Arabidopsis thaliana: one gene and its partners. The protein of the gene in region 3 interacts with the protein of the main gene of each other region in a pairwise test. Each region holds a gene or a part of one and is shown on either strand. Other genes may lie near its edges.

Region 1 (5,727 bases), on a different chromosome or scaffold from region 3:
GCTTCGGGAATTTCTAGCAGACCAGAACAAGACTGTTGCGAGCACGCCACCGGCGTCTTCCGTCGCCGGAGGAGAAGAATCCGATAAAGTGGAGCTGGTTACGGAGGATTGGAGACTCAGCCAGTTCTGGTACGAACCTGAAACTGCAGAGACTGTAGCAGATGAAGTGGTCACTCTCTCTCAAAGAATTCCAGGCTGCAGAGTCGCTTGCATTGCTTGCCCTACTCTCTACGTTTATCTCAAGGTACTATTAATCAGTTTTGTTCAGTACCCTTAATTTGTATCGAATCCGTTTTGCTAAAAATCGATACTTTTGTTGTCGTTGATGCTAAATTTCTGTGCGACGGGTTTTGATTTGTGCTGAGTCAGAAAAGAGATCCTAGTCTTCAGGTGCAATTGCTGGAGTACGATATGAGATTCGAGAGATATGGAAAAGAGTTCACTTTCTATGATTACAACGAACCAGAAGATCTGCCGCTTCAGCTGAAACATTGCTTCCATATAATCGTTGCAGATCCTCCCTACTTGGTAAAGTTTCTTCAAGTTCTTAACTTTTCCGATGCTGTTCTTTCATGGGAATTTTGGAAATCTTTTAGCTGCCCCTTGATAGATAGGTTTAGAGACTGATGTGTAATCTGCTCTGAACTTCTGACATTCAAGAAGCTTCTGCTAGATAGGCATTGCTTATAAATTAATCTTCTTTTAAAAGATTATAGAAAGTCCAAAAGCAGACAAGATGAAAGAAAAAAAGTGTAAGCTTTACAATGGAGTATCAGTTGGTTATGGTCATGGCTTAGTGTCACTTCTTAAAGATGGATACTTTGTGGCTCTCTGCTGCGTTTTGATTATCATTTGAAATATTTCCCGGGTAGGAGTATTTGTGACTTGTGAGGATATCATTAATCTGTGATGTTTTTGTGTGCTATATTGCTTGCTATCTTCAAAGCATAAATGTCTTTGAGTACCTTCTAGTTAGCGTGTTAATGATCTTGATTCGTTTATGCTTGGCAGAGTAGGGAATGCCTGGAAAGAGTTAGTCAAACAATTTTGTTCCTCGCAAGCCCAGTAGATTCATTGTTGCTTCTTCTCACAGGTACAATGGGTACTTTTGTTTTCTCAAGTCAAATTTATATGATCTTATGATTTATTAACTAGGAGATATCTCACGTCTTGCAGGAGAGGTGCAAAGAGAACATGCAGCTGAGCTATTGGGTGTTCGCCCTTGTGTGTTTAAGCCTCATCACTCTAGCAAACTCGGAAACGAGTTCCGACTGTTTATAAGTTATGATCCAGGTACCAGATTAGGAGGCTTGGAAGAAGACAGCTAGTTGTGACTTGCTTGTAAGTTGCTTCTCTAAAGTCTTTTGACTGTTCTTGAGTAAACCAGTGATTGTTCTTTTACCCTTCTGATCACAAAAAGCAATGTGCTTAAATCCATCTCACGCGTTCACGTCATCCCCTTTTGCTGTTCATGTAGTTGCTGTTAATTTCTTATGACGATGCGCCTTAACCAATCTCAGGTGTCTGGCATTTCAAGCCCTTATCCTCTAGCAGCGGAGGAACATTTGTGGCAGGGAACACTCATCGGCTCATGTGTGTTGGATATTTTTCATCAATGTTCTCTTGGTGACCTCACTTTGTTCAATCGTTCTCTGTATCTTGTTGCAACCGCAGATCTCAAGTCTGATATACTTTTACATTATTATCAAAATCTCAACATATTTACCAAAATGATTTATTGCATCATGAATCAACATGACATACGGAATTAGCTCATCACAAAAAATTATTCAATCCGTTGCAACTTTATAATTTGCGAGGAAGAGATGAAATATTGATGTTTGCTCTCAGCGAATAAAAAGTTTTTGGTCCGACCCGGTTCTACAAACTTTACCAGAATCAAAGTGCTAAACCGGGCGAAGAAGTTAAGATCTCGAGAAGAGTCTTTTACGGTGGGAGAGAAACGAGAGTTGTTCGTCTTCTTCCATGGTCATTGAAATTCAAACACACGCAAGCATCAGAGAAGAGGACTGATTCGCGACTTCGATTATGAGGCCGAACATTGTTACCGAGGTGAGATCTGTTCAATTTTCTGCTCTGATTGCTTATATTCCTTGATCTTAGTCAGAAATTGTTGAGGTTTTAGCTTGTTTAATTACCGAGAAACTCCTAGTGAGAACGAGCTATGGCTGATAGCAGAAATCAGTACGACCGTCTCTTAATTCGGTAGAGTTAACTAATTAGCAGTTCAATTCGGCATAACTTCAGTTTCATGGCCAATCGTTCGTTGTAGAAAGTAGAAACATTCTCTTCATAAAATAGGTTATAGCAGCCTCTGTTTGTGTTGTTTCATTAGTTCTTCAAGTTTTAGGTATAATAATACAATTTCACCATTCTATTATACAACTGTGACTCTGGATCATACTTTTGTTTGAAGATTTCTGAAATTATTCATAAGGTTGAATATTATTAGAAGGTTTCTATGTCCAACCAAGTAGATAATCGGCACAATGTTTAGATATAAGCCTATAAACTGGTAAAGGTCTTGTTTCTGGTTAGTTATGTATTCTTTATTTTCTCATAGGCTGGGGTTCAAACTCGAGTTGGACAGTGGTGGAATGCCATACCTTTCCTCACGTCATCGGTGGTGGTAGTTTGTGGGGTCATTTACCTGATATGCCTCTTAACTGGATATGACACTTTTTATGAAGTATGCTTCTTACCCTCGGCAATCATATCGAGGTTCCAAGGTATGTTCTCATATTTATTGAGGCTTGCATGTCATGTAGAAGATATTCCTATTGGCACTAAAACTTACATTTCCAAAGTTATTTCGTCTTGCAAACTGGTAATTTTAAATTCAGATGCCTGAGCTGTCCTGATTTTTTTTGTTTCCTCTTGTTCACTCGTTTCTCGTTATCTGTGCAGTTTATAGGTTTTATACAGCCATTATTTTCCATGGATCACTGCTTCATGTTCTGTTCAACATGATGGCATTGGTTCCTATGGGCTCTGAGCTGGAGAGAATCATGGGATCTGTCCGTTTGCTTTACCTAACAGTTTTGCTGGCAACGACCAATGCCGTATTGCATCTTCTTATAGCATCCTTGGCGGGATATAATCCCTTCTACCAATATGATCATCTCATGAATGAATGCGCCATTGGATTTTCTGGAATCTTGTTTTCTATGATTGTCATAGAGACAAGTCTCAGTGGAGTTACCTCTAGAAGGTAAGAATTTTCAAGGGCTACTTAAATGATTTAGACTCTGGAAGATCAAAGTGCAAGTAAATATGAGCTTCTTGTTAGAATTCAGATACATTCTCTCCAAACATGTTAATGCTACACATGTCTGTACACATATTAATAAGATATGCGTTTAATGTCCTCTGAATGTGGGCTATTTTTTGCCAACTCTTTGTATTCATGAAGCATCTCATATTTCTTCATTTGCTACTTTATTTCTCTGTGCAGTGTGTTTGGTCTCTTCAACGTTCCCGCTAAACTGTAAGCTCCATTGTCTTGCTTGTTGGCATCTTAATGCCCACCTGCATTTCTTGTTGCTCATATGATGTAAAAGTTTGTATCCATGTGTAGGTATCCGTGGATCTTACTAATAGTATTCCAGCTTCTCATGACAAATGTTTCACTGCTTGGGCATCTATGCGGCATCCTGTCTGGATTTTCATGTATGATTATTGACCTTTTTCATTGTCATCTTCTTTCTAAACCTGCATTTTCATGGGGAGCTAATTTGTTAGTCGCTTTGGATTTCAGATTCTTATGGCCTCTTCAATTTCTTGATGCCTGGCTCTTCATTTTTTACCACCATTGAGTCAGCCTCCTGGATGGTAAGTACTAAGTACTTAAGAAGATCTGGCTTCTTGATGTTTCCTTTTCTTTGTTAATTGAGAGGCCATCGAGGATTTAAAACTCATGCAGATCTGGCTTCTTGATGTTGCTCTCTGAGTTAATCGTAACTCATCCAGTTTCTATGTCCTCTTCCAGTCTAGCTTCATTAGGCGACCCAAGTTCATTATGTGTACTGGCGGGAATCCTTCCAGCTATATTCCCACTTATTCTGCACAAAACACAACATCCAGGTGTGGTTTCCTAAGAACATATGAAAAACTGGACTGTTTGCCCAGAGAATATCCTAACGACATTTTTTCTTTGACCAGTGGTTTCTCTACAGGAAATGCTTGGAGATCCTTGTCTTCATGGTTGCCACAGAGGGAAGCATCTAATCAGGTACGTTCATGCTAATCTTGTTAGTTTCTTTTCTTTACCATGGTGGATGCATTCACATCTAACCATATTACTTCACATGCAGTCTTCTGAGGACAGTAGATTTCCGGGGAGAGGTAGAACTCTTAGCACTGCCCGAGATCCTACTGCTCCAGCTGGAGAAACAGACCCAAACCTCCATGCTAGACTGCTGGAAGATAGCAGCTCTCCAGACCGCCTTTCTGATGCAACTGTCAACACCGTGGCAGATTCAAGGTATTTGATTTCTTCAGCTTATGATTTATCAGCTTATTACGCCATTCTTCAACCTCACCCTCATGTCTCACCGTGTGTAGACAAGCGCCAATAGCTAATGCAGCAGTCCTGCCCCAATCCCAGGTTACTTTTCTTCTCTAAGATATTCGGCTCAGACCCAGACCCTTGTACAGCTTCTAGAAGCTTTTCTCTTATTGAGCTGTTAAAACACAGGGTCGTGTTGCTGCTTCCGAAGAACAAATCCAGAAACTCGTAGCCATGGGCTTTGACAGGGTACGTTTCTTGCTTCATACCAACGTTAACTAAAACAATAGTAAATAGATGGCTTAAAGTCTCTGGATTTTCTTCAGACACAAGTGGAAGTGGCGCTTGCTGCTGCCGACGATGATCTCACCGTAGCAGTGGAGATCCTAATGAGCCAACAGGTATAAACTTTTCCGAACTAGAGTTCTATTAACTCATTTTTAGAGTTTAGGCACTACTAACAACGAAACCACTGTGATCAAACTTGCAGGCTTAACACCAACAACTCGCAAAGTACTGTTTTGGCTTGTATTGTAACGTTTGTTTCTCATTCTGTCTTTTACTTGCATTTAGAAACTGTATAGCGTCTGTTTTCTTTAAGGAGGTTCTTTAACCAGACGATCAAACCGATTTTCCGGTTTAGAATCTAATACAAACGAAAGATCAGTTGAAATTTTCTTTTTTTGCAAAATCTCTCTACGTAGAACTTTACTTTGCAAAAGTAAACTTGTTTATTGGCGGCACACTTTTTTTTCTTCTCTACGGAGTACAAACGGAATGAAACAGAAGCTATTATAACATGGTTTCCTTCCTCACTTGCTCTTGTGTTCCTTCGTGTTACTAGTTGAGGTTTCTCTAGGCGGTCGCACAATGAGAATTGGACATTTTGCATGTTGGGCACAGTAGTCACTTACACTCCCTAAAAATGCCCTGTATATCTCAAACACCAGGAATGAATGAATAGTCACAACCAGAAATCTCAATTTGTTGTTAGACCTTAGACCAAAAATGAAACTTGTACCTTTTGATCATGCCGAGTCCACGGCTACCAACAACAAGAAGATCAACATGTGTTTGCTCGACGGCTTGGCATATCATCTCCTTAGGATCTCCTTCCAATATCATAGTCTCTGTCTTCACCTACAACATAAAACCATAAACTCAAGAGACAGAGAAGATCACTGATAAACCTAAACTCT
Region 2 (3,279 bases), on a different chromosome or scaffold from region 3:
TGGCAATACCAATCACAGCCATACCAACAACAACCAGAGCTGAGAATCCACCAGCACGAACAGCTATCTGCATTAAATCCATCACTTAGTATTTGGCCATGTGTACAGGAATTCCTATTAATACTAAAAAACAAACCTGCAATGCTTCCCTTGCGGATCGTCTAGCAGCACTGGAAACCCGTACATTAGCACGAACTGACACCCACATTCCAACATATCCAGCAATACCTGAACATAGCGCACCCAAAAGAAATGCAGCAACAGTAATGTATGCAGACATTGTCCTGAAGCACAAAGTTATACATTTGAGTTTTATTTATAACAACACAAAAGATAAAAGAAAAGATTCTGTAGAAGATGTATGATCACCTTCCTAAACCAGAAGCCTCTTGCTGGGGGGTTAAGTTACGGAACAAGTATATGCAAAGGATCACAAAAGCTAGCAAGAACGCCATTTTGGATATAGTACCATACTGCGTTCTTAAAAATCCTTCAGCTCCATCACGTATAGCATCTGATATCTAAACAGAAAAGAATAAGCTCATAGCACAGAACTGAAAATGCAACTGAGTAACAAAGAAGACACAATCACGAATAGAACAAATTAAAACTTGTGTGAAATTACCTGAACCATTTCTGGAGGTCCTTCATCTTTGGCTAATACCCACTTGGTCAGGTATACTGACAACATGAAACTGATGATGCATACTACAAAGACGAACACAATGATGGGAGAAGTACGTGCTCCCATGTAAAAGATCCCTCCAAAGCTCAAAAGCAGAAGTACAGAAAGGGCACGAACATTTAAATTTCTCAGAATGCGGATTATCTGCACAAAACAACTCATTATAAAGATACCAAAAGAAATAGAAATAAAACCAGATATAACACCAATACATATTTGTATAAATATGACGGTGTTTAGATGCAAGAAAGATATGCTCGAGAGAGAAGGGTATTATGTCCTAACCAATGGACTGTAAGTTTTACTACGCATATCCGGGAAGGTCCTTGGCTTGTCACTGTAAGAAACCAGAGTGGCCTGCTCAACATCTTCATCCATCATCATGTTTTGTAACGAATTTGCCCTCCGAACAAGGGGAAGAGGTATAAAACCCGTGCTACGGGGCAGCTCAGCCCCAGAACTTGGACGCTGAATCTTGATACGCTACAAAAGACCCTCCAAAGGTTTACCACAGCATAACAAGAGAACTAATCGTAACCCACAAAGTCTGACTATATCTTGATCAGCTTCTTCACACTTTCTCACTCGGTATTGACTCCGAGAGAAACACCTCCCATATATAGTTTTCAGCATAAGAGAAGATTCTGAAATAAAACTGACAAGAATTAAGCCCCGGAAAATTTCTCTGTATTAATCGGACACCATGAAATTCTACTGTAAGATTTAGCTAGACTTATCGAACACCAACATTTTGTAGATAAACCAATCAGATCTAAATTCTCACTATCATGATCTAAACGAAAACGAAAACGTAAACGACAGAGAATTAGCGAAATTGTAGGCAAAATAACAGATACGAATAATATTTGTTTCCGAAATGCGAGTAAGAAAACCCCTAAATCGGCGAAACAGTGAAGACAAATTACAGTTTCAGAGAATGGTCAGAAGAAAACCGCCATCAACTCGAAGCTTGTCGTCCTAGCCGAAGAAGCGTTCTCCACTCTCTCTGTCTGTTGTCACCGTAAATCCTAACACTTCAGAGGTTAGTTTACACTCTTTTGTTAATTTATTTCTCATGCCGGGTTAATTGGACAATCCTGACTAATGAGTTTTTGACACGTCATCACAAGGAGCATTTTTTCTTAATAAGCCCCACTTAATAATATAGATTTTAATAATTTCCTCCTAAGTATTGTTTTTAGGCGCATTAGGCAATATTGTTGTTATGCTATCATTTTACCATATTAAAGGAGATTACTAGTTTCACAGTATTCGTGGGCCCAAGCCCAACAGACAGTCCATGAAGAAAAATTACCCAAAGTTGATTTTTAAAATATAAATAAAATCAAATAATTATCTTCCGTCTCATCTTCCAACCCAGGAGCTGTACTTTAGAAAATTTCCCAGATAAGAGATTCAAATTCTGTACTTGTATACCCGGCGGAGCAGAAGATGAAGCAACCGGCGACACCAAACGCGGCGGAGGAAACCAAATCAGAACAAAAGCAGAAATCGAAGAAATTCCCAACTCCGACGGAACTAATCTCTCACTACCAGAAACGAGGGCTGGAACCAGCAGAAGCTTCAATAAAGGTCATCGAAGATTTACAAAACGCGCTCGTCCGAGTAGTTTCGTCCTCCAGAAACGCCTCGAGCAAGGATAAGCTTGTAACCGACGCGAGGAAAATCGACGCCATTAACGGGAGGCTTGCCGTCGTCGACGCGAAGCTGGAGACGAAACCTGGATACGTTGAGACTTTCGCGTTAGGGTTAGCTTCTGGTGCGACACTTAACGGAATTAGCGCCGTTTGGCCTCACGTTACCAGAGGCATTGGTCAAATTTGGTCCGCCGTTAGGATCGGGACGGATCCTTCATCTACCTCTTGAATTGTTAGAAAGGAAAATTCTAGGTTGATATGGTTTCTTATGAGTTTTTTTCCGGTGTTGTATTTAGTGAAATTTGAGTATCAGCGACTTCAATCTTTGTACTGTTGAACAATAATCTCATTAGAAAATTATCCCAATTAATTTTGCTCTAAAACAAAGAAAAGACAATTTGTTAAACAGTTTTTATCATAATGGCATGATAATATATACACAGCAAAATAAAATTTCATAGCAGGCAACTTTCAACAAAATATTGCAATTTGAGTTGCCAACACTAAGTTAGCCAAAATTTTCTCCTAGTGCTAGTTTCAGAGTTAGAACATGAGAGAACCTATGATGAATGACGCCAGAGGAAACTATAAAACTTACCCATGAAACCGGAAATTAACAACTGGTTCACGATTGTGGGAAATAACCTTTGTGAAATCAGTTGTTTGTTTGTTATCTTTGTTAACTGTTGTTCTTGGTTGACTCTGCAAATAAGAAGAGTGTAAGTGAAATTCAACATTAAGACATACTAATTTACAATTGCATATCAGCTTCTGAGGAAGAACATAAAGAGGTTCGATATGTAATGAAATCTTACCTTTGATCGCCTTAGGTGGTCTTGTATGACTGCCGGCGGTTGAACCTGGGGACAATGGTCGCTTTGGAGGTTTAGGCTTATGTGAAGGAATCAGAGACGAATTGAGAATGGCAGCAACAGC
Region 3 (7,844 bases):
AGCTTTTACGTTTTGAAGGAGAAGATGATGATGAATCGAAAAAGAGCCTGCTTTTGGCAGATGAAGCAACCGGATCTTCAGATCTGCGACGAGATCCAGCGGCTTGACGAATTTCTTTCACTGATAAAGCCACAGATCGGTTTCTCGATCTACTAAGCATGTTCTCAAGTGGTTTTTCCGGCGTAGGCAATGCTACAGAAGACGGATTTGGATTCCCGGTTTGAGATTTCGAAGACGGCGAATCCATCACCAATCGTTTCTTCGATTTGAATGGAATGGATCTAGAAGAGCCTGGTGTACTCATTTTTATCAACAATGTCTATAGAGTGTCAGATGCAGAGAGGAGATAGTGGAGGAGATAGATGAAGACGATGAAGACGACGGAAGAAGAAGAAGGGTTTAGATTTATTTAGGTCTTTGGCGCGCAATCCTACGTGTACCAAAGCCACGTATACCTCCCGCGCCTATTAACCCGTTGCTTCCCGCGAAAACACTTATCTACGAAGAAGCCCATTAATTAGGCCCATTATGAATTGCTGTCTCTGAACGAATCTAATAGATGCAAACCAAAGAGACCAGATTTCTTTTTTTCAACTTGTGATTTTTTTTATATGAACATGATTTATATAAGGTCGTCGTGCAATGTTTATGCTGCTTGTTCAGTATTTATAGTTTTTTTGAAAAATCAAAGATAATCTCATCATAAGGAATCTTATCAACAGTAAAATATTAAGATAAAACAGTTAGCCCAGCAAATCAAATATAATCAATGGTTTAGTTTATGTTTTCTATGTTTCTCTTTCTAAACTTTGAATATATTTACCACATCCTTATTTTAAATCATAGAATTAAACAGTTTTTAAATGATTATGATATTTTTTCTATTGTCATTTCTAATATTTTACTAACAAAACTTTAATTTTATTTGTCTATTAAATGTTATATTTTTCCGGTATTGTTATTTCTGTATATACTTGAACTTTTTCTTATTAAGGTTCGTCGTTTCCATTTTATTTTATATTATATTTGCTAATGAGGAAATCTATATAAAATCATGAAATAAATATTGATTATTAAAAGAAAACACATAAATATTAAACATTGAATATTACCACATCCCTATTCTAAATCAAAGAATTCAATAAATTTTCAATGATTATGAGATTCTTTTCAATTGTCATTACTACTATTTTCTTACTAACAAAACTTCAACTTTTCTTTTTATTAAATGTTATACTTTCCGATATTATTATTTCTCTATATACTCTTATTTAAATTTGTTGTTTTATGTCAATATATGAAGTTTTGATGATTATAATAATAAATACCAATTTTTATTTCTTTTATCGGTTTATCGTCTAGTTGACAAAAAAAAATATAATGCCGTTATAAAATAATTATAACTTTCATGAGTTTTTATTTTTGATTAACATTTAAAAAATTAAAGGAGCTAGATGTATCAATTTGTATTATATTATGCTCTGAGACTAAATATTGATCTTGATACCAAGAATCTGATCTAGATCCAAAATTTATGTCAACTGACTCACTATCATATTTTCAAAACTCAATTTTAAAGTTAGTAATATAATGTACATCTTAACTATTGTTTTTTTGGGTCTGTTTAGAATCTGGGCCGGTGCCCACTCAAAACAATCGGCCCATTATACAAGTTGTTAAAATAAAATTCAATATATCACATTAAAGAAAAATTACAATTTTTTGGCTTCAAGACTTTTTTTTTTGTGTGTGCAAAGACTTTTTTGGATTCAAGCTAATAAATGTTAGATTACCTTTTTAACCAAAGATCAAAGTAAAACCAAAATCATAGAAGAGGAAGAGAACTCGTGATCACGTTTCTTTGGTTAAGTAATGTTGTATAGAAGAGAAGAGAAGAGAAGAGGAAGAAGAAAAGCCCAAATCGAAAATTGAAAACTAGTACTCCAAACTCCAAAGCATCAATATTTTATCACTCCTCTTTTCTTCCACGCAAACCCAATTCTCTTCGTCTTCTTCTTTTGCTTTTCTCCCCTAAATTCGTCGATCAAATTCTTGTCTTTTCAACTTCTTCATCGAATTTTCCATTGCCCATAGCCTCTGTATTTGATTCCTCCTTCTCTAAAGCTTCGGATATTAAGACAATTATATCTTCCTAGCTGCTTATAGACCTTCGCTTTCTAATTGCTGTTCCTTTCGTGGGTCTCTGGTAAGTTTTGATTTTCTCATCTGCTGTTATCGAGAAAGGTTGATTTTTTTTGATTAATCGCACTGTGATTTAAGGTTGGAGGAGATTATAGTGTTAGCTTAAGGGTTTTTGAGGTTTCAATTTAGAATCGTATTGCTCCTGATCATTTCCCTGTTAAAAGTAGATAAACCCCTTGTTCTATTGGGAAGGAATTCGCCGTTTTTGCTTCGTCTTCTTGTGAAAAATAGAGTTGGTTTTAGGTAATTGACTTTGATCAAGGTCTATTGGTTGTGCAAAGGTTGCGTGAATCTTGTGTCAGCCTCTTGATTGAGTATAGATTACTTCGTCTTCGCTTTCTCTGCACCATCAATTGTCATCAGAGTGCTAGGCATTTAGTGCATTGTCCAAAGATTCTGCTTGTGCATGAATGCTATTGTTGAAAAAGAAAGGAAGTGTTTGAAATCGAATAGTCTTTTGAGTGTCAAGCAAAGGATAGGTGGGTCTGGTTTATATCCATCATGGTGGAAAACAGATATAGAAACATTTCTTTAGCAGGTTATGCCACGAGTTCCGTATCCTTGGTTTGTCTTTCTGCGTTTAAGGATTTGATTTGCCTTAGTGTCTCATTGGTTAGTATATTCATTGTATGTGCTTCTAGCTTGAACATTTTAGTGGCACTTTTTTGTTTGCATACATAAATTATCTCTGTCATTAGGTGATTTGCATTGTGGATGCTTTATGTTATTCATGTTTGATGCAGGATTTGTAGTTGCATTCTCATTGCGCACTACACTTTCTTCAAATTTCCGCGTGGTAAGCAGGGAATGGACCGGCTGTTTTGGCCAATCGTCTGTGTTTACAAATGATGAGCAGTGGGCATAAGGGTCCAAATGTACGTAACTTTTTTAAATGGCAACGTGGTGAATCATCATCGTCTTTGACTACTGGATTGCTTCATAATGAGTCACACGAGATTGAGCTATCTAACTACGGAGGAATACCAAGTCCTGGTAGTGAGAGCCCATCGGGACTTCTTAATGGAGAGAGTTTAAATGTTCAACCAATTGCTGATTTGGATCTTTTTGTCGAAAGGCTCTACAGCTACTACAGAGACAAAGGACTTTGGTGTATTATAGTAAAGTGGGCTGTTGAGCTTCTAAGTCTGGGCTTCATCATATGCTTCTCTGGGTTTTTCTTGCTGTATGTTGATTGGAATGGTCTTCAGAATGCAAAATGTGGAATGGATGCAGTTGAATCAGGAACTAAACCATGTGATCTTGTCAAAGAAGCTATCCATCCGCATCCTTTATCCCCTTTCACGCTCACAACTGCTATAATTGTTGGATATTTGGCCCTCTTCTCTGTGTACTGGCTCTTCTGCTTCTTAAGGTTTTTTGCCCAGTTGAAAGATACTTTGGACTTTCGGCACTTTTATTACAACAAGTAAGTTGGAAGTTGCAACATGCTATGAATAGTTATTGCTAGAGCAAAACATGCATTTTAGGTCATAATTGATTTTCTTTCTTTTTGTTGTAAATTTGCAGTCTCCATGTCACAGACAATGAAATCCTTACTATGCCATGGGCAACAGTCCTTGAGAAGGTTGTTCAGTTACAAAGCTCACAATGCCTTTGTGTGGTTAAGGATCTTTCTGCTCATGATATGGTTATGCGCCTTATGCGGAAAGAAAACTACTTGATTGGAATGCTCAACAAAGGTTTGCTTTCTTTCCCAATTTCCCATTGGATCCCTGGTGCTGGTCCAGCAGTCAAATCCGCACCAGATGGGACACAGTATCACCTTGTATTGACAAAGACCCTTGAGTGGACCCTTAACTGGTGCATATTGCAGAGCATGTTTGACTGGTATGCTATTCTCCACGCTAATCTTTGATCTAATCTGAAAACTGCTTTCTAATAACATTGTAGATATAGGATTTTATGAACTGCTATAGTGATAAATGGAGAGTTTGTGATGCATATGGAAGTTTCAGTTTTGATGATTTGCTTTTTCTTGGTCAGATTGTAGTGATCTTTTCAAGTTAATAAGATTGTCCTGTTAGAGGTTTTCTCCCTGTATATATATTACGTCAGTGAAAAATTGCGTAAGTTAATAAGATTGTCCTGTTAGAACCTACATGGGAGTGGCCGAAGTGCGTGTATGTTATATTTCATATTCGTAGTTAACTACTAGTACTACGGTGAAGAGTAAGGCCATAGAATGAAAAATTCCTTGCACATGCTAAGAATTGTCCGTTTTGTCTAATTCAGGCGTTTTCATTCTGCAGCAATTTTCGTGTTAGAAGGGACTTTGTTTCAAATCCTACAACACTGAAGAAACGACTATTTGTGGTTGGGCTTGCTATGCTTCTGCTGTCACCGTTTCTTGTCATCTTTATGTTGGTGTATTTATTCCTAAGGCATGCTGAACAGTTCTACAATCATCCAAGTACTGCATCTTCTCGAAGATGGTCCAATTTGTCAAAGTGGCTCTTCAGGGAATTCAATGAGGTAGTTGCCTTCATCTGGCGTCCATGCCCACAAAAGTCGTGTGAACGGAGTTTAATTCTGATTTCTTAGTAAACCTTTGAAATTTTCCGACTCTCTCCATTCAAAATAAATGTGATGCCTTTTCTAAACTTCTTGTTTCTACAACAGGTTGACCATTTATTCAAGCATCGGATTAATAGCAGTGTAGTACATGCATCCGAATATCTAAAGCAATTTCCCTCGCCTATCATCTCCATTATTGCAAAGTTTGTCTCGTTTGTTTCTGGCGGCTTTGCTGCTGTCTTAATCATCATTGCGTTTCTTGAAGAATCTCTACTTGAGGGACATGTAAGAAATACTAACAACGCAAAAAGCATTTGATAGATAAATTATTTGGGTATTGAAGTTTCTTTTACCACCTGTGTAGATATTCGGCCGCAATCTGTTCTGGTATGCCGCTGTTTTTGGAACAATTACAGCTATTAGTAGAGCTGCCATATCGGATGAACTTTTGGTCCTCGACCCAGTAGGAACTATGTCTTTGGTGGTCCAAAACACTCATTATATGCCTAAGAGATGGCGTGGAAAGGAGAACAAGGATGATGTCCGCTTGGAGTTAGAGACTCTGTTTCAGGTACCATGTTAACTTATTAACTTCTTTTTTTACAAACAGTTTGTTTAAGCTAAAGATCAATATTTAGTCACTGCCATCTTTCATGTAAATTTTCTGAATGTTTTCTATTTGACACTGTCAAGATAACTGCATACAGTCTTATTTTCCATAATACGCTGAATAGTGAATGCCAAATTTATGCTTACACCTATTTTTACTTAATTAGCTTCATAATGTAATGAATTTAAGCAGCAAGATGAGCTACTTACAGGGTACAATAGGATGTTCTGCTAACTTTTTGGGTTCTTTTTATGATATTCCTTCTTGGTCTCTACTACTTTCTGAATGAATTTATATAAATGATGCTAATGAAAATTTCTGCACCTCAGTATACTGGAATGATGCTATTGGAGGAGATAGCTTCAATCTTCATCACACCATTTTTGCTGATGTTTGTCGTGCCAAAGGTATATTTCTCTCACATTCGCGTTAGTGTACCCCACGTCAAAATTGAGAATATACAATGATTGTGGTCTCACACATTTTGAGTTCACTTTCCAGCGGGTGGATGACATCTTGCAATTCATTAAGGATTTCACAGTTGATATTGAAGGTGTAGGCCATGTTTGCAGGTAAACAACTCTTCTAGTCATATCCTGTCCAGAAATTGTTTTAAAGAAATTTACAATAAGGATTACATTATGATCATTGGCCGTTTCGCTTGCAGCTTTAGTGCTTTCTACTTTGAGAACCATGGAAATATCAAATATGGTTCACCACATAATGCAACTCGTCGTGAGCAGAGAAGCTCACAAGGGAAAATGGAGAAATCATTCTTGAGGTTTGAGGCATTTCATTGTCTGTTTTTTTCTCTGCAACATATGAATTCTCTTGGAATATATGCAAATCAGTGTTAAGTGTTACATTTTATTTGCAGTTTCCAGAGTAGTTATCCTTCTTGGGAGTCAGATTCTCTTGGGAAGCAGTTTCTGTCAAATCTCAGAACTTTCCGGGACCGAAAGCTTCATGAAATAAACACAAGACACTCATCTCCTAGTAGGGCGTGGCGAGAAAGCACTAATACCCCTGCTTTATACAGAGACATTCCAAGAAATCCGCTTGCGAGCGGCAATCACACTGATTCAATGTGGCTGATTGATCCAGATCAGAGGAATCATCCTTATCTTCTTGACTGGTATTACACTTCTCAGGCTCACAACAGAACTGATCACCCAATAGAGAGAGCAAATGAAATCTTAACCGCAAATCAGAACGCTACAGATTGTTGGCCTCCTGATTTGGGAATCCGTGGTGAAGATAGCAGAGATCTGCTCAACATGGAGGCAAGCACATCAGGTCAGTTTTTCAGAGAGAGCATTCTGCGCCATGACCAACCCGAGGGAGAGGATAGTTATGGGAGTCAGCATCCTCTTGATGGTAGGAACCAGTGGTGGGGAAGAGGCAACCACTCTCAGATCAGCACAGCTCATCCCGCAACCACCAATAGCTTCATCGAGCCACCTGATTTTATAAACCGCTACACAGCAGGAAACTTATTAGACAACTCTTGGAGCAGAAGAAGCATAGAAGAAGAAGATGAAGAAGAAGAAGAATTGGATTGGGAAGAGAATGCAAGAAGAAATTTGTCGAGAACTACATTCATGGACGATAACGATATCGAAGCTGGGATTGATCTCCATTTCGACGATGTATATAGTTCAAGACCTCAAGAAACTTCAACATCAAGCACCACATTACGGTGACAACAATGAATTTTTTTGATTCAAAGTTGTTTCTTTGTTCAGTCTTTTTTATGGTGGATGAAGAAGGAAGATAAAAGAGATGCTTTTGTAGAAAGTGTTCTCTGTATTTGGAAAAAAAAATGTGGGAATAATAACAAGTCTCTCCTCTTTTTTTTTTTTTCTTTGGTTATGTTTCATCCTAACAATACATGCAATTCTTTATTGTTGTGTATATAAAATAGGTCCTTAAAAATGGTGTTTTTCAATCGTGTTTAAGAGCTTTATCGGCGTAAGAAAGAACCTTTTTCAGGATCCTCACCTCACCTGATACAGAGCAGATAAACCTAGCTCGTTATCTTCGAAAGACAATTCCATCTCCTTGAACAAACGGAACACTTCATCAGTGGTCTCTGCGGAATCGAAAGCCTCTTTGAGATGATCTTTTCCTGATATAACGGATAATCTCAAGATTAAGAGCTCAGTGTTTGACCACACCGAATTGCTTGACTTGCATTCCACGCCAAGAACACCACGTTAAGGTGATCCTTCGGTGAAGTAGGAATCCTGTTTCGAGACTGAAACGAGAAAGGACCAAGATGCAAATATTTTCTACTAAAACGATAAAGGACCAAGATGCAAATATTTCTTCTTACTTTTTTTTTTTTTTTGCTTTTTACATTTCAAAATAAACCTGAGAATGCCTATTACATTTTCTTAAAATCCCTCTTCACCCGATCCCTCTTTCTTTGTCTCTGTCTCGAGATTGCTAGTAAACTCAAAAAGCTATGGCGGTTTCTAATGCCTCTGTTGTTCTT
Region 4 (4,485 bases), on a different chromosome or scaffold from region 3:
CTAAACCTTTGGAGATATACACATACGTACACTGAAAGAGGTTTATTGATCACAAGTCAGGCAAATAAGAAGGACGAAGATAAAGAGAGAGCCAAGGCTGCAAATGTTGCTGTTCGTGCAGCCGTTGGAGGAGATGATAGGTTTTCAAAATGGAAACTTATGGCTGAAGCACGTCAGAGATCTTCTCCAGGGCCAGGAAGAAACTCCAAGAAACTTTCTGGTAAGATTGGTAATCCCGTTTCTATGATCTGAAAGAGTAAATCTCTCAGTTCTGTTGCTGGTTATTCTTGTGTTTCGTGCTCCTAATTGCATATTCGAACTTTATGTAGGTGGTACACAATTTGGGAAGAACCAAGGTTTACCAAAAGTAGTCCGGTCAATCTCTGTGAAGGATGTGATCGCTGTGGTGGAAAAGGAGCCTCAGATGTCAAGATCGACGCTATTGTATCGCGTATACAATAGAATCTGCTCGGATGTTTGAAACCAAGAAAAGACATAGGACCAATTCTTTATTTTTTTTTGTAGAAAGGTTCTTATTCCATTAAAACTAATGCCATTACAAACTCCTAAACATGATCAAGATGCTAAAGTACATCCTTATTTCTTCTTCCTTTCACTACCTAAAGCAAGCTGCATGTTTTTTCTAGTTTTTGCCTGATCCCTTCGTGCTGACTCCGCCGTGTCCATATCCTCCTCCACCACCACCGCCTCCGCTGCATGAACCTCCGCATCCTCCACCACCACCGCCAATGATGACTCCACCACCAATACCTCCTCCACCACCAATACCTCCTCCACCTGACCCGTATCCTGGACCACCACCTCCGTTGCCTCCATCCCAACCCAAACCACCACCTGAACCATACCCGGCACCTCCACCAAATCCACCACCGATTACAACACCACCACCGCCGCCACCTGGACCGTATCCACCACCACCATATCCCGGGCCTCCACCGCCGTAGCCACCAGCTGTGAGTTCACCCTTAAATCCGGTTACGTGTCGGATACTCTTTCCAATCTCACTGGAGTGTGCTTCATTCCTCATGAGCTTACTCTCTCTTCCAATCTCACTCGAGCGTGCTTTATTCCTCATGGACGCACTTTCTCTTCCAATCTCAGTGGAGTGTTTTTCATTCCTCATGAGCTTACTTTCTCTTCCAATCCCACTGGAGTGTGCTTCCTTCCTCATGGAGGCACCTTCTCTTGCAGCCTCGGCAATCATATGACCGATGAGACAAAGATACGAGGAAACAAGAAACCACAAGATCACTCTAGCCATGATGGCTGCTTAGTGACACAATTTGTTTGCTTAGAATCTGAAAAAGGAAGTAAAAGGACTTGTGTGTTTGAATAATACACAGCCACAAACACACACCACTATTTATATATCTTGGGACATAATACAACGGTGATGGTTGGCATGGGCGTGCCAGTAGAGAGAGAGAGAGGTGCATATATGGTGACTCACCAGAAAGGTGTAACAGGTGATGGTTCTCATTCGCATGATTTTTCCCACACTTTTTGCTGCATTTTTTCATTATTATTCATTTTGCAGTCTCAAGTTTTTTCTTAAATAAAAGAAAACAAGGAGTGACTCGTGTACCAATCCATTGATCTGATTTGAACATATTGGTTATCACACATATGTTCCAGAGGAAACAATGAATTATGAAACTGTAATAAAATGATTATAACATGAATAAAATTGATAGATAAGTCATAAGTAATCAAAAGTAGGATCATGGCATATTTTTTTCCTTTAATCATACTTTCGATTACTAGTTCTTTTGGTAATTATGCTGTCATAAATAAAGCGTTAACCAAAATGAAGAGAATTAGAGATTATGGACCGGTTTATTGAGAACCACATTGAATAAACCAAACATTAATAGTACTAATTTTCGCACGTGTGTGTAACGAAAGGCCGTAATTTGGCTAATCGATGAACGAACGTTCCCTCTCTTCTCTGAAATCTTTCTCGATCCATCCATCTTCTCCATTTTCCTCCATTTCTGGGTTTCTTCTCATCTTCCAAGGATTAGGAAATTAGTTTGTTTTTTTTCATCTGCTCAAGTGATGACGACGAGTTTGGATCGGTGGGAGAAAGATCCTTTCTTTCCCGCTGCTGAAGAAGTTCAGGAATCTGCCGACAGGTTTGCGTTTTTCGGATCCTCATCTCCCAATTTTCGTTTTGAATCTGTGATACCATAAACTCTCATTGTTGGTGATGCAATGTCGACGATTCGATTCGTGTTGCTTCGGATTTGGGATTACGATTTCTGATTAATCAAATCAAGTCTTAGATCTGAAATCTCACAATGTGTGTTGTTATCTTCGATTCATGTGTAGGATGGAGTCAGCGTACAGGACATGGCTCAATGGGAAACGAGACTCTTCAAAAGTATGGGACTCTGAGCAGCTTCATAGAGATCTTCACGCAGCTCTTGGAACCACCAAATGGCAGGTTTCTTTCTTTCCTCAGAACTCAGATTCTTAATCTGTAATGTTGATTTATGAAACCTGTAATATTTTTGGTGTAGTTAGATGAATTCCAAAAAGCTGTCAAATCTAGCTATGACAATCGTTTGAGTGATGAAACTAGAGATAGGCATCGTGAGTTTACTTTCGTAATGGAAGCTCAAGTGTCGAAAATCGAGAAATCTCTCAAGGAAGCTGCGCAATCCGATGGGAAAGGAACACCGAGATGGGTTCGTTTGGATGAAGATGATCGTAATGAGCTTGCTCTCTTCTTGACTGGTCCATCTGAATCTGCTAAAGCAAATCCTAATGGACATAGAAGGACTGCAAGTGCTGCTGAATTCAGTGCTTGGAACATTGCGGTTTCTGATGATGGTTTAGTGAAGAAATCTTGTGATGAGCCAGTGGTTCGACCTCCGAGGAAAGTACCTAGCTTCTCTGGATTCTTGAATTATATGGATCCTGTGTCCAAGCATTGCAATAGAAAGTGGAAGGGTTTAGATCGTCAAGGAGACTCTGATGCTGCTTTATTACCTATCCAAGCTAACCAAGTAAGTTTGATCGATCGATCTCCAACCGCAAGATTTTTGCCTCCTGCTTTGAAAATCTTTGCTAAGAAATGCTTTTTATTTTTTTGTTTCTCAGCAAGATATGAATGGATGTTCAGAGAGGGGCAAGAGTTGTATGGAGTGTGAGGAGGACTGTTATGAAAAGCAGCTTCATGGTTGGTATGGAGCTCTACAGAGGCAACTCCAACGGTCTCAGTATCGAATGCGATATAGTAAATCGGTTCACGCTGCAATTTGGATTATTCTTTTAGTTTTTCTTATTGGTAAGATTTACTGAACTCTGAATCATTTATGTTTAGAACGCAAAGCTTACTGCATCACTTTTGAGTTTTGAGATAAATTGTTTTTTTTTCTGATTGCAGTGGTAGTTGCAGTGCATTCAATGTAGAAGAGAGGTTTGGAATAGCAAGGTTCGAGTTCATTCATCTTCTGTGTAACAGCGAAAGAGACGAATTTGGCAATCCACATTTTTACTGTACAGTAAATTCCAACTGTTTTTGGTTGTTTGTAATATAGAAATGCATTTTTTTGGTTCGATTATTTGAAACGGGTTTCATTGAGCAATCATTGTTTTCTTAGGCACCAATCCTATTAACCATTGTAGAATTATTTGGGACTAAACCCAAGATTGAAGTGGAACCTTCTAAAAATGACAATTCAGAATACAGAAATGCATTTCGTATTGGATTATTTGAAGTAACCGTTTCATTGAGAAATAAGAAAAGGTGTCAGAATTCTTTTACAATCAATCCGAGCAGAGTATTGAAGCACACGACTGCTTAAGTGGAGTTTTTGGACATGTTAGCCACCACCTCCTCCCGTTTATCGGCAGTCTCTAACTCGATGCCTTGAAATGTAAGTCTAGATGAACGATAGTGACTCCCAAACGCAGTCCCGAAACCCCACCCGAGGCCCAAACCCACCCCGCAACCGCCACCTTTGTCAAATACCAGACGCATAAGTTACGTAATTAGAATTTAGGAAAAACCTGCTCGGTGTGTATCTATGCGAGTGTGGGATATTTGAAGTAGAAGTTTGAAATGCTTACCAGCACCAACACCTAAGATGTTCATAGGCATTCCTGCATGAAAGCAACGGAAATCTCCAATTCAGTAGGTTTGCAAAATAGTATGAATCCATCAAAATGTAAGCGCAACTGATACTAGCTATGCGTTTAAGCAACCATTAGCTAGGAAAGAAGAAGCATTTGAGTAAAGATGATATGTAGGAGTTGATAATCTCTATAAGAGACATTAAGCAATATGATCACAAAACTAAACAAGCACAGCAGAGTGCATTGCACATCCCATAGCAACTAGCAAGAGAATTGTTCCAATAGAATTATCTTGTAATTCAGTCCAGATTTTGTTCAAGTAAAAGCAGAAAAAGAGAGAAGTTGAGAACGAACCTCCAAAACCCCATCCAACGCCAAATC

The links.
Region 1: the proteins of APG9 (region 3) and RBL15 interact in a two-hybrid assay, tested with the Arabidopsis thaliana proteins (one large-scale study listed by BioGRID).
Region 2: the proteins of APG9 (region 3) and AT1G16790 interact in a two-hybrid assay, tested with the Arabidopsis thaliana proteins (one large-scale study listed by BioGRID).
Region 4: the proteins of APG9 (region 3) and AT1G27700 interact in a two-hybrid assay, tested with the Arabidopsis thaliana proteins (one large-scale study listed by BioGRID).

What each region holds. Positions count from the first base shown.
Region 1 is NC_003074.8:21,622,671-21,628,397, reverse strand, and holds RBL15 (RHOMBOID-like protein 15), read left to right. Parts: upstream 1-1,696; 5' UTR 1,697-1,755; coding exon 1,756-1,797; exon of another isoform or gene 1,798-1,925; coding exon 1,926-1,976; exon of another isoform or gene 1,977-2,049; coding exon of another isoform or gene 2,050-2,073; intron 2,074-2,584; coding exon 2,585-2,750; intron 2,751-2,928; coding exon 2,929-3,232; intron 3,233-3,475; coding exon 3,476-3,508; intron 3,509-3,598; coding exon 3,599-3,690; intron 3,691-3,778; coding exon 3,779-3,852; intron 3,853-4,009; coding exon 4,010-4,104; intron 4,105-4,182; coding exon 4,183-4,252; intron 4,253-4,334; coding exon 4,335-4,504; intron 4,505-4,584; coding exon 4,585-4,627; intron 4,628-4,717; coding exon 4,718-4,777; intron 4,778-4,854; coding exon 4,855-4,929; intron 4,930-5,018; coding exon 5,019-5,024; 3' UTR 5,025-5,196; downstream 5,197-5,727. Other genes in the region: AT3G58470 (nucleic acid binding / methyltransferase), read left to right, coding at 1-244, 370-528, 1,012-1,093, 1,177-1,328; AT3G58450 (Adenine nucleotide alpha hydrolases-like superfamily protein), read right to left, coding at 5,341-5,458, 5,550-5,668. UniProt on the Arabidopsis thaliana protein: Probable rhomboid-type serine protease that catalyzes intramembrane proteolysis. May function in senescence.
Region 2 is NC_003070.9:5,742,501-5,745,779, forward strand, and holds AT1G16790 (ribosomal protein-like protein), read left to right. Parts: upstream 1-1,834; 5' UTR 1,835-2,137; coding exon 2,138-2,572; 3' UTR 2,573-2,759; downstream 2,760-3,279. Other genes in the region: VHP2;2 (Inorganic H pyrophosphatase family protein), read right to left, coding at 1-67, 137-284, 370-521, 626-829, 971-1,069; AT1G16800 (P-loop containing nucleoside triphosphate hydrolases superfamily protein), read right to left, coding at 3,023-3,045, 3,159-3,279.
Region 3 is NC_003071.7:13,321,497-13,329,340, reverse strand, and holds APG9 (autophagy 9 (APG9)), read left to right. Parts: upstream 1-1,844; 5' UTR 1,845-2,206; intron 2,207-2,945; 5' UTR 2,946-3,047; coding exon 3,048-3,628; intron 3,629-3,729; coding exon 3,730-4,050; intron 4,051-4,472; coding exon 4,473-4,695; intron 4,696-4,842; coding exon 4,843-5,022; intron 5,023-5,101; coding exon 5,102-5,308; intron 5,309-5,676; coding exon 5,677-5,754; intron 5,755-5,848; coding exon 5,849-5,919; intron 5,920-6,014; coding exon 6,015-6,128; intron 6,129-6,224; coding exon 6,225-7,050; 3' UTR 7,051-7,291; coding exon of another isoform or gene 7,292-7,353; 3' UTR 7,354-7,373; coding exon of another isoform or gene 7,374-7,404; 3' UTR 7,405-7,508; downstream 7,509-7,844. Other genes in the region: CDT1A (CDT1-like protein A), read right to left, coding at 1-304; AT2G31265 (uncharacterized protein), read right to left, coding at 7,292-7,353, 7,374-7,404; HEMA3 (Glutamyl-tRNA reductase family protein), read left to right, coding at 7,815-7,844. UniProt on the Arabidopsis thaliana protein: Phospholipid scramblase involved in autophagy by mediating autophagosomal membrane expansion. Cycles between the preautophagosomal structure/phagophore assembly site (PAS) and the cytoplasmic vesicle pool and supplies membrane for the growing autophagosome.
Region 4 is NC_003070.9:9,639,347-9,643,831, reverse strand, and holds AT1G27700 (Syntaxin/t-SNARE family protein), read left to right. Parts: upstream 1-1,929; 5' UTR 1,930-2,079; coding exon 2,080-2,156; intron 2,157-2,352; coding exon 2,353-2,467; intron 2,468-2,543; coding exon 2,544-3,032; intron 3,033-3,126; coding exon 3,127-3,313; intron 3,314-3,412; coding exon 3,413-3,438; 3' UTR 3,439-3,829; downstream 3,830-4,485. Other genes in the region: TAF4B (TBP-associated factor 4B), read left to right, coding at 61-220, 330-481; AT1G27710 (Glycine-rich protein family), read right to left, coding at 644-1,282; AT1G27695 (glycine-rich protein), read right to left, coding at 3,830-3,987, 4,099-4,131, 4,459-4,485.